Linked DNA regions of Caenorhabditis elegans. The protein of the gene in region 2 interacts with the protein of the main gene of each other region in a pairwise test. Each region holds a gene or a part of one and is shown on either strand. Other genes may lie near its edges. The genes, in order: rei-1, rab-11.1 and lec-5.

What was found.
Region 1: the proteins of rab-11.1 (region 2) and rei-1 interact in a two-hybrid assay, tested with the Caenorhabditis elegans proteins (one study listed by BioGRID).
Region 3: the proteins of rab-11.1 (region 2) and lec-5 interact in a two-hybrid assay, tested with the Caenorhabditis elegans proteins (one study listed by BioGRID).

Annotation. Positions count from the first base shown.
Region 1 is NC_003281.10:4,096,251-4,100,032, forward strand, and holds rei-1 (Guanine nucleotide exchange factor rei-1), read right to left. Parts: upstream 1,941-3,782; 5' UTR 1,879-1,940; coding exon 1,760-1,878; intron 1,602-1,759; coding exon 1,218-1,601; intron 1,166-1,217; coding exon 1,066-1,165; intron 1,010-1,065; coding exon 878-1,009; 3' UTR 653-877; downstream 1-652. Other genes in the region: C03C10.7 (uncharacterized protein), read left to right, coding at 1-137, 187-296, 496-652. UniProt on the Caenorhabditis elegans protein: Guanine nucleotide exchange factor for Rab GTPase Rab-11.1. Spatially and temporally regulates the distribution of Rab-11.1 to target membranes during embryogenesis. Plays a role in cytokinesis, probably by targeting rab-11.1 to the cleavage furrows.
Region 2 is NC_003279.8:108,119-111,974, forward strand, and holds rab-11.1 (Ras-related protein rab-11.1), read right to left. Parts: upstream 1,940-3,856; 5' UTR 1,927-1,939; coding exon 1,887-1,926; intron 1,839-1,886; coding exon 1,717-1,838; intron 1,666-1,716; coding exon 1,374-1,665; intron 1,329-1,373; coding exon 1,147-1,328; 3' UTR 556-1,146; downstream 1-555. Other genes in the region: Y48G1C.8 (DUF7747 domain-containing protein), read right to left, coding at 1-43; rpl-7 (Large ribosomal subunit protein uL30), read left to right, coding at 2,937-2,947, 3,043-3,142, 3,392-3,589, 3,637-3,853. UniProt on the Caenorhabditis elegans protein: The small GTPases Rab are key regulators of intracellular membrane trafficking, from the formation of transport vesicles to their fusion with membranes.
Region 3 is NC_003280.10:5,839,012-5,842,909, forward strand, and holds lec-5 (Galectin), read right to left. Parts: upstream 2,093-3,898; 5' UTR 2,092-2,092; coding exon 1,978-2,091; intron 1,924-1,977; coding exon 1,758-1,923; intron 1,501-1,757; coding exon 1,304-1,500; intron 1,258-1,303; coding exon 1,119-1,257; intron 1,074-1,118; coding exon 854-1,073; intron 808-853; coding exon 699-807; 3' UTR 628-698; downstream 1-627. Other genes in the region: ZK1248.19 (Beta-catenin-interacting ICAT domain-containing protein), read right to left, coding at 1-179, 230-315; nep-25 (Peptidase M13 C-terminal domain-containing protein), read left to right, coding at 3,232-3,332, 3,384-3,534, 3,583-3,650, 3,749-3,898.

The DNA.
Region 1 (3,782 bases), on a different chromosome or scaffold from region 2:
AAGAGGTAAAACGTCGTATTGAAGAAGAGGAAAAAGCGAAGGAACAGAGGAAGAGAGATGAAGAAATTCGTAGAGAAACTCATGAATTGTTGGTTATTAGGGAATTGAGCAATAATCGGAATGATATAGAAATGCCTGTAATCTCTTCAATTAAGTGAAACAATAATATGACACAAATATTTTTAGAGCATTCCAAAGCTTGGCCGGCGTGTGAACAATTTTCAGTATTTTAAATGGGATTCTGATGAAGAAATTCCAATTATTCCAGAAGAAAGAAGACCCGCTTCGGTTAGCAGGTGAGAAATTGAATTGTTAAATAAAAGAAAAATCATGAAAATTTTGAAATTGACAATTTTGTGCATTCTACCGTCGCGGTGTATGCGTACTTGACACTATATATGACGCGCAAGTTGCAAGTCAACGAAATTTCGATTTTTTTTAACGTCTCAAAATTTCAAAAAATTACAATTTTTCAACAATCTATTTCACCCTCAGATTGCCACCAGCGACAAGGGCATCCACTCTTTGTGAGCTATGCACATTGGCTTCACGATTGCTTGATAAATCCAGTGCTCCGACAAGAAGTGCAGCGTGTGCACACGTAGATGCTTTTGTGGGCACTTCATCGTCTTCTCATTATCACAATTTTTAATGTTTCAAGAAAATTGTTATTAAGCACCAGACGAACACAAAATAAAGAGATACATAGAGAAAATGAGGAGCAAAGAGAAAGGGGATTGAAACCCGTAAAAATACATTTTTGGTGAAGTTGATTGGGTGTGGAACGTGAGTACAAGTGAGATCGAGATTTCGAAACTTCGTGAAAAATCTAATATTACACGTGGAAAATTGAGAAGAAAGGGTGTGGCTCAGAGTATCAAGAGCTGTCGGATTCTGCATCACTCGAAGGAGCCAAACTGCTTTGCGAGGAACGCTCCTGATGAATTTGATCGCTGATCTGCTCTAAAGCTCGCATCGAATCACTGTAGCTGTCTTTTCGTTCTTGTACCTGGAAATTAAAAATTATTTTAATCTATATACAGTTTTATTCTTATTAGTTCTTACTTCATGCTCCAAAATTGACATTAACTCAAGTTGAGAATTCATTGTTCGCGTCAGAACTTCTTTTCGTTCGTAATAGGGCCGGGATTTTTTGATGGCAGATCTGAAATTCGGAAAATATATTGTCAGAAAATTGCCTGATGCCTGAAACTCACCCATTTTCCTCTAAACATTTCCTTAAAGCCATTTCCAACTGTAACAAATCCCTGACACGTGATGCATGACACTTTTCAGCTTTTAAACATTCTCCCTCAGCTTCTTTAACCAATTCCAACTGTTGCTCAATCACATCAACATATTGTTTCTCTGCATCCAATTCTTGATTGTTATTCAATGAATTATGCAGTATTTGCACTTGTTCTCTTGCCATTTCAACTGAAGTTTTTTGTCGTTCAAATTGAGCTGCCGCTTGTTGAACACATCTTCTGATTTCCGATTCGCGGCTTTTCAAATCGAAAAATTGACGGGATTTTGATATGTGTTTGGCCAACTTTTTAGGGATTCCAAGCATTTCTTTGTTGAACATTAGTTGGGTTTCACTGAAAATATATAAGATTATTTTAGCATCAAAACCAGATTTGGTACGATTTTTTGCGAATTAATTGGTTAAGAATGACTAGTGCAATAAAAGGTTTCCAGTTTTAGACGTGTAGCGATTAAGCAATTATTTTAAAATAAAAAATGAATTAAAACTCACCAAAACTGTTTCTTGACAGTTTCCAACTTCATCTCATAACTGTTGATGTCATCTGTTGCATTATTTAAATTTTCAAGTTGTTTGCGAATCGATATTAATTGATCGTCCCCTTCCGTCATTTTTAATGTTTTATTGATTCTGAAATCGAATTGTTCGAACGAAAATTACTAGAAATGAAGAGAATATGAGGAGAAAAGATGAGAAAATAAATTTTTTAAAATTAAATTTGCAAATTTTAACGTGAGGCAAAACTGTGCATTTTTACGTGATGGTGTTTGCAGATCGTAATTTGAAATTAATGGCGGGAGTTTTTCAGAAATTATCAATTCGACTTACAAAAATGGCTAAAATGAATGAAATTTGGACAATTTTCTCAATTTTAGTTGTTCAGGGTTAATAGCAAAAATCAGCTGCAAAAATGGCCCTCGACATGACATTTTTGTTGAAAACAAATGGGTGTGCGCCTTTAAAGAGTACTGTAATTTCAGTATTCATTGATTTTTCATAGTTTTTGGTTGAAAATAAATTTACTTATTAAATAATATTACTTTATTAATAATTAAGATAATAAAATTCAAAATTATTCGATTTAATAAATTGTGAGATCAACTATGAAAAATCAATTAAAATCTGATCAGAGAGCAACGAAAGCTTTAAATTACAGTATCCTTTAAAGGCGCACCCCCGTTTGTAAATCTCAGAAATTGCCTTTTCGCGGCCAGGTACCGTATTTTCAGGGCAAAAATCTCAAAATTTTGCGTCTGGGTAATATTCGAACCTCATAATTTTTTGAGAATTTCGAACTTGAAACCATTCTAGAACAAAGAAAACGAGGAAACGGAGAGTAGAACTATTTCAGATACGGTTTTCATCGGTTTTTTGGGTTTGAAGGCCGTGCAAACGACAAGCGGGGGTAGGAAAAGTGTGGGGGACGACGGAGAAGAGAGAAACAGAGACGGACGGTCGGGATGGACAGTGTGAATAGATTGTGGAGGGCAAATGGGCCAATTATACCGAAGGGGAAATATATTGAGGGGCACACAATTGTGGACTGTTATATGAGCAAAATTGGTGGAAGGTGGGGGAAGAGTTGAGTCGCCTCAGTCCTCAAGAAGTACTTTTTTGAAACATATTTTTTTAAAATTTTTTTGGGGCGATACCCCTCAACTGCAAAATTCCGATTAATTGCAACATTTCTATTTTTAAAATAAGAGAATGTCTATTGGGAAGTGGAGCAATCCACGACTGGATTATCGGCCACAGTCCCCGGCTAGGACGTGGCTTAAAATTACAGCCCAGAGGATCACCACCAGGCAGTGTACCTGAATCCCAGATCCGCAGTGCATAGCACTTGAAGAACCGATCGTCCTTTAATCCTTTAATCCTTTAATCTAAAAATAATTTTTCTTCAGTCTGACAAAAAACATTTTTAGAAAATTTTCAGGTTTTGTCAAATGATAAAACGATTTCGCTGATAGTTTTCAATTCATCTAATAATTGAATCGAAAATCGGAAAAACGCGCAAATTTCAAAGCAAAATGATGCTTCCGGGTCTCGACGCGAGTGAAACTTTTCAGCTACAGTACCCATGAGTACGGTAGATGATGATTTTCTTGAAATTTCGTTTTTTCCAAGCATATTTGACGGGATTTCGATAAAAAATATAATTTTTACATCAAGAATATCAAAAGAATTGAAAATTACAACAAAAAATAAAGGGTACGGTAGCGGAAAATTTTCATTCGTGACAGGAGCCAATGTGGCAATTTTACTTGACAAATAGCGAATAATAGCTTTTATGAGTGCTATCTGAAGAAGTCTAGGCGCGTGAGCTTTAATAGGATTTGCGGGAAAAACATCAGGGAGGTGTCGAAAAAACGGGGACAGTTTTTGTGGTCGTAGGGGTGTGTGGGGGACGACAGGTTGTGGATGACGTTGTCTTTTTCATCTTCTTCTTCTTCCGATGAAGAATAAGTGAGAAAATTAGAGAAATAGACAGATACTGATCTATTTTCTCTTTTCT
Region 2 (3,856 bases):
GATTTTCTGCCAATTCTCCCGAATTTTCAGGATTCTCGGACATTTTTCTGCAATTTAATAATTGAAAATAAGAATAATTAACGGGGTGGAAAATTAAAAATTAAACAAGCATTAAAATAAATTTGAAAAAGTCCTGATTTGTAGTCCGCAACGCACGCACGCAAGCATACACCAGAACAACTAAGAGAGACGGGAGGAGAGATGGAGAATTTGAAAGAGACGGCGAGGCGACGAGAGAGCCGGAGGATTGAGGAAGGACAAACACACAGATGTGGGGTCTTGCAGCGCTTTCTCTGCGTCTCTTTTTTCGACATTTTTCAATGGGAAATTTTTTTTTGGAGTTTTTCTTTTTTTTTATCGGAAAACTTCAAAAAATTCAAATGGAAACGCTGTACGGACAATGCATAGAATAACACGCAAAAATGCACATTTTTAGGCCTTAGGTTACTGTAGTGGTCTCGGCGCGAAAATGCGGATTTTCATTTTGAATTCAAAATAAAAAAACTGGACGTGATTTGGTACAAGCGTTTAGTGAAAATGTTTCACAAAATAGGAGATCAATTAGATATATTTATTTATTCATGGAAAATGACTATTTGGAAAAAAATTGCGAAATAAATAAAACTCGATTAAAAACAATGTGCATATGTCTTCGTTGCTTTCTTGGCGAGGGTTTCTCGGTATCGAGTTCTACAAGAGACACACATTACGAATAACCAAAATAGTTTAGGTAATATACACATTGGGTGGGGGTGGGCCAGAATAATATTGAATAAGGGTGAAGAAAAAATATTCAAAATACGTCGCTGAAGTTGGCATACAATCTTGAGTCGGATAAATGGTAAGAAAGCAGCACCACTCAACTCAGATCACAATCTTCTGAAGAAAAAGGGACGAATGTATAGGTTCGGAGGGGGGGGAGGGGGAAGGGGTGGGGATGGAGGCAATTACAAATAAATCTGAAAGAAAGTTACAAATACTACACACCAAAACGGTGAAGACTTGCAAACGCAGTGCTTGCAAGAATTCGATAAAACTCGCGGATGTTAAGAGCGAATCATTTGGATTTCGGGGGCAGTAAATTAAATGGACAAGGCATTTCGAAAAATACACACGTTAGACTGAAAAAAAAAAACACGATGTGATTTATGGGATGCAACACTGCTTCTTTGGTGGGTCGGACGCTGGCGAAGGAATGATTGTACCACTGCCACCGCCATATCCTTGTCTGTCAGTTCCTACATGCTTGTTGGATACTGATTTGTAGATTTCCGTCAGGATATTAGTGAAAGCTGCTTCAACGTTGGTGCTGTCGAGGGCAGATGTTTCTGAAAAAAAAAAATATATAAACGCAATAGATTAGTTTAACTTACCAATAAACGACAATTGATTTCTTTCGGCGTAGATCTTGGCCTCGTCTGTTGGAACTGCACGCAAATGGCGCAAGTCGCTCTTGTTTCCGACCAACATAATCACAATGTTCTGATCGGCGTGATCACGAAGCTCCTTCAACCATCGCTCAACATTCTCGTACGTCACATGCTTAGCGATGTCGTAGACTAGGAGAGCTCCGACAGCCCCACGATAGTAAGCGGATGTGATGGCACGGTAACGTTCCTGTCCAGCAGTATCCCAAATTTGAGCCTTCACTGTCTTGCCTTCTACCTACAAAAATAATAATTTGAATCATAAGTGTATTCTAATGAAGTTCCTCACCGAGATGCTTCTCGTGGCAAACTCGACTCCGATTGTTGATTTTGATTCCAAGTTGAACTCATTTCTTGTGAAACGAGACAGGAGATTCGACTTTCCGACGCCTGAGTCTCCAATCAGAACAACTGAAACAATTTTTCGTTTGGGAATTGAAAAATGAAAAACAAAATTACCCTTGAACAAGTAGTCGTATTCATCGTCACGAGAGCCCATCTTTACTGCTGAGCTGTAAAATGATAAAGCTTGTTTGAAAGTTGTGTATATATTGGGACGATTGTAAAAAAGAAAAAGGGCATTGGTCACATGATTCATCAGCCGGGCGCAATGTTTTGTTGTAAAATCGATATTAAAAGAACGAGACACTGTTTTATCGGCGGAGAATATTTTTATGTTCTGTTCCCGACACAAACGCGGAGTCAGGAACCGGTTGTCTATCTCGACGGGGATTGAAAAAATATAAGTGAACTTGATTTAAGAATGATTCAAAGTATATGGAGTTGGGAGTTTTATATTGAATTTTATCAATATATGAGGGTGGTTAGTCAGAAGAAAAATGTGAAAATGTATATAGAAGTGTGTTATGAAAGAGTATTTGAGGCTTATCATACCCGAAAAAGGGAAGGTGAGCGGCCGAACTTTGTTTGTCGACACGATTTCGAAATAGTTGAACAGGATATTTTTAACAAGGGAAAGCTTTCTCTGGGTGTTCTTTTTTGATAATTTCAGCTAAAAATTGAAAAAAATAATTAGTTTTATGGCTGTGAACATCCAGAATAAGCTTTTCCGAACGCGAAATGCGTGTGAAACCCATAAAATCGAACGTAAAACAGGTCAGGCGCACCGGCGCAGCCACGTCGGTCTGAGGGTACGCGACGCTAGCCGCAGCGCAAGCCTCCTCGGGTCTCGGCACGACAACTACCGTACCCCTTTCGCAGCGGCGCAACGGAATCTCAATTTTACATTTTTTTCTTTTTGGCCTAACGAATTTTTCCGTTTTTTCAGAGCATTTTTCATTGATTTTCTTAAATTTTCATCAGAATAAATTTTAGAACTAATTTCCCGTAATTCTGATACGCGTTTTTTATAGTTTTCGTGAAGAAAATGCTGAACATTCGAAAAATACTGAAATAATTTAGTTTTGAAAACTTGCTCCTCTGTTTCAATATCTTATAATTTTCTTTTCTGATTAATATTTTGATTTTCCAGGTAATCAATCGCCTATAATGGCTCCAACGTAAGTTTTCTTTATAAATTTATATTAGATTGAAATTTACTTTTAGGCCTGACTTTCAAATACTTCAATTTTGATATTAATTCTTGGTTTTTCAGAAAGAAAGTGCCACAGGTTCCAGAAACTGTGCTCAAGCGCAGAAAGCAGAGAGCCGATGCCCGCACCAAGGCTGCTCAACACAAGGTGACCGTCGCCGCTGTAAGTTTATTTAACTGTCAGAAAACAGAAAATGCTCTTCAAAAGCACTGGTTTTAGGATCCACTATTATCCAAGCCAGCCGTCAAAACTGAGCTATAAGAATTATCTTGTTTTTGGGTGAGGTGTATTCAATTCAGAATGCGTCTCAATAACACGATGACAATTCGAAATTTTAAAGTTTAAATTTTCTTTTAGGTGTTTGAAAATTAATTTGAACTAATCCTGCATTAAAAATAAAATTTTTTACAGAAGAACAAGGAGAAGAAGACCCAATACTTCAAGCGTGCTGAGAAATACGTCCAGGAGTACAGAAACGCCCAAAAGGAAGGACTCAGACTCAAGCGCGAGGCTGAGGCCAAGGGAGACTTCTACGTTCCAGCTGAGCACAAGGTCGCCTTCGTCGTCAGAATTCGCGGTATCAACCAGCTTCATCCAAAGCCAAGAAAGGTGAAATTGTGTTAATGAGTTTTTTAATAACCATTCTTTGTTTTCAGGCTCTCCAGATCCTCCGTCTTCGTCAGATCAACAACGGAGTGTTCGTCAAGCTGAACAAGGCTACTCTTCCACTTCTCCGTATCATCGAGCCATACGTAGCTTGGGGTTATCCAAACAACAAGACCATCCACGATCTCCTCTACAAGCGCGGATACGCCAAGGTTGACGGAAACCGTGTCCCAATCACCGACAACACCATCGTCGAGCAGAGCCTCGGTA
Region 3 (3,898 bases), on a different chromosome or scaffold from region 2:
TTTCAGGTGTTTTGAAGGCTTTACTTATTGCTGTTCGAATCGCAATTTTAGTCGCCGTGAGATCATCAATTAAAGAAACATCTCCGCCTTGCAGGCGTTCGACTATTTTTCCATATTCCTGAAGTTGATTTACAGTGTCTTCACGCAATTCCCTGTATTCGTCTTCTTCGAGATTATTCCTGAACAAAGAAACATTTGAAAGTAAAAAACAAACAAAAAATTCACTCACTCTTCTTGTTCTATTTCTGCTAACTGCCGGATCAATCGATCAATAGTTTTTTGAGCATTTTTAATAAGCAAATCGTCTACTCCCATGACGAGAAAATTAATTGCAAGAGGAATTTGCAAAAAACAACAAACAAAAATGCTGCGCGTCAAGTAAAATGCATTTCGTAAATCGAGTGTACGCAAACACCATGACGCAAAAGTGCATGTTTTTGGAAAACCTCAAAGTTGGATTAAAAATGTTTGGTATTTAAAAGTTTTGCAGTATTCCTTTATATTCGGACAATTTGAAGTTGAATACATCGAATTCTGAATAGGAAATTTTAATTCTAAACAGAGTCTGCAACATTTTCCATGAAAATCGAGCTATTGTAGTCTGCCAACAAAACATTGCTACGGATAAGGAAACTTAGAATGTTTATTTAGATCTGGACAGTATATAAAAACTTAAAATATATTCAGAAAACAAAAATTTAAACTCCTGGAGCATCATTAATGGTGACAGTCTGGATTTCAACGTCTCCATCAATTTCAAGAGTCTTGATATCGCTTGGCGATCCACGGTGGGAGAATGTGGTGAATCTGCAAAAATATTGATTAAAATCAGTAAAATTAAGGAATTTGAAACCTTTCATTGTTAAGGAAGATCTGGAAAGAGTACTCTTCGTTGATGATGGTGATATCGAACACTTGCTTCTTATCAAGTGGCATTTTTCCTTCTCTCTCTTCTTTTCCCCAAACATTGCTAGTCATTGCGTTTCTGACAACAGCTCCCTCATTGTATCTGATGGAAACTTGAAGTGCATACTCTTTGTTTTCACGGTACAAGTTGACATTGACACGCTTTCCTGAAAGTTTTCCATGTGAATAAACGGACATTTTATTTTTTGTACCTTTTGGAAGAGCAGAAATATCCAGTCTCTTTCCTGGGGTAAGACCAGCAACTGCCATATATGGGTTAGGGAAGATTCTTCCTCCATAGTGGAAAAGACGAAGTTTTGATAGATCTCCACGGATTGAGACGTGATCAATCTTAAATTCGAAGTTGTTTGATAAACAATTTTAAAATCAAACTTACTCCATCAAGTGGAAGTCGTTGAGTGAAGACTCCAACCTCAAGACGGTTAGCAAAGACCTGGAACTTTCCTTCAAGAATACGAACACGCAAATCAAATTCTTGTCCGGCTTTGAATGGATTGCTAATTCTCTGCTCATCTTCAGACCAGTTTCCGTTTTCGAATGTGTTGTAGATCAACTTTCCGCTGCCGAGAAGTCCTGAAATTTATTGTTTGAAATTCAAATATTATAGTATTTTTTTAAATTTAATTTATGGATCGGTTGTTCTGGAAACGAAAACATTCAACTATGACATCAGTTTCTTTAATGATAGAAATTGTTTTTGAATTGCTACTTTTTAAGCGTAAGTATTGGTTATCATTATCTTTATTCATGATCTTGCAAGTTTGGGTACTGTCGTACAAATTTTTTGCGATACTATACCGGATCTTGAAATTACTCATTAAAACACTTACCCTCATTAAAACGAATAGAGAAATGAAGTGGAAGATCAGCATCTTTAGCTGATCCTTTGTGGAAGTTAAAATCCACACGAGTTGGCTTCTCAGAAAGAGTTCCAACGGCGTGAATAGTTTGTCCAACTGCAAGTGGCTCACTGACACGGGTCTTGAATGGGAGCTTCTAAAAATTTGAAACAATAATTTTCAGATTCTAGCCAGTGTCTAGATAACTAACGTATTCTTGTTCTCCGATGAACTTCTTATAGTTTGTCTCCTTTGGATCAGAAGCATCTCCTTGGCATGAAACCAAGGCTGCCAAAGATAAGCAGACAATCGTTCTTGTTATCATTCTGCAAGTATAAAATTGAAAGATTTTTAATACAATTTTAAAAGAGAACATCTTCAAAATCATGCGAGAATGTTACGTGACACTATAGAAGCTAAATGGCAAACTTTCGAAGAAGCTGCTTCAAACTCTTGAGCCATGGACAATTGGCAAGATAAATGTGTTGATGATTCGGGAATCTCCACCCCTTTCTTCAATTGATTCATTATATTACACCAACACATTTTCCTTGTTTTCCATTGGAATGTTCAGGCTCCGACCAGAGGCCATGCGGAGAAGATATCAGAGGGGGCGAAGGTTTGAGCTTTGATCAGAAAACGGACACTAAAATAGTGAAAAACACTTTGGTCTCCTGGATGAGTAAGCAGATGAGAGTCTCAACAAATTTCAAAGTTCAAAATGAAAAATATATTTATTGTGTAGAGGTATCCAAGGGAGCAGCATCACATGGGGTGTTTGATGGATTTACGATGTTCGCATGGACAGCTTGGAGGATGTTGAAACATTGTACTAATGTCGAAGAACCTTAATGTGATGTGTTCATTATTTGAAGCATTATGAAGATCTCACCAAAAATACCAAACATCTATACAGTAAAAGTGTTTTCACTCTGTTCGCGTTCCAGGTGGTCCTTCTGTTCCTGCTGTTCAAAAAAAATCCAAAGAAATGGGAGAATAAGGCTTTATATTTTCCAAATATTTTCAGAGTTTGCCCAACCTTTGTTCACTTCTAAACTAGTCTGAAATCGAACTTTTAAATGGCTTTTAAGTATTGGAAACTATGAATGGCAAATCGGAGATTTATTATGGTTTGAAAACGAAATTTCCGAGGTACAACATGGGAAAATCATTATTTCGGAGTGGATTCCTCATTGTCATTTGCACAAGGTTTGCTTCCTTTCGAGAGTTTCTGATTCCTTAATTTGTTTTGTTTGAATAAACTATTGCTTTTCATTTTTGGAATTTGTCTTCAGCTTCTTTCGCTTCCTTAAATGTTCAGTGACAATAAAACAAACGTTATGCAAATTATTCGAAATTTTCCAAACAATATGGGAAATCGGCCACCTCACTGTGCTATTGTAGGCGGGAATTTTCGACTATAAAAGTATCCGTGCATCACATATTTTTTGTTTCGACACCTAAAATGAAGGCCCTTCTTCCCTTTTTCATATTTTCTGTTTTTATTCTTTTTTGCACATCAAAAGCCTCTCTACCGAAGAATATCATTCAAGAGCATATTAAAAAGTAATAGAGAATTACATCTAAAAGTTTTATTGAGTTAAAAACAAATTTCAGACATGCTGACTTCTCTGTGGATCCGTGTGTTGATTTCTATGCCCATGTGTGTCCATGGAAAGTTGAAAGATATTTCATGGAAGATCTGAGCAAGCTGAAAGCTGGGATGGTAGCAAAATATAGAAAAAAGCATCCAAAATTTGATAAGTTTGTAAGTTTTAAAGTGTTTTGAATGGGCAAGCTAATTTTTTTTCATCAGAAAGGGGAAGATGCCTTCGCAATAGCAGAAGCTCTGAAGCAACTTAACATTGAGCAACTTAAATCGGAGTGAGCTTTCATAGAGAAAATAATATTTTCATGTTGTGAAAAAAACGAAAATTGTGAATTTTCAAATGCACCTAAAATTTAGCTAATTCGATTTGCAGATGCAAACCCAGCAAACCTCGCCTTTCGTCGTTTTTCATCAGCGCTCAGGATAATAGAACAATTGAAAATGTAGATGAAGTATTATTCCCTGGCTTTGAAAATTATCCATGTGAAGAAAAAGCAGCAATAATTATAAAAGAAGTTGGAGA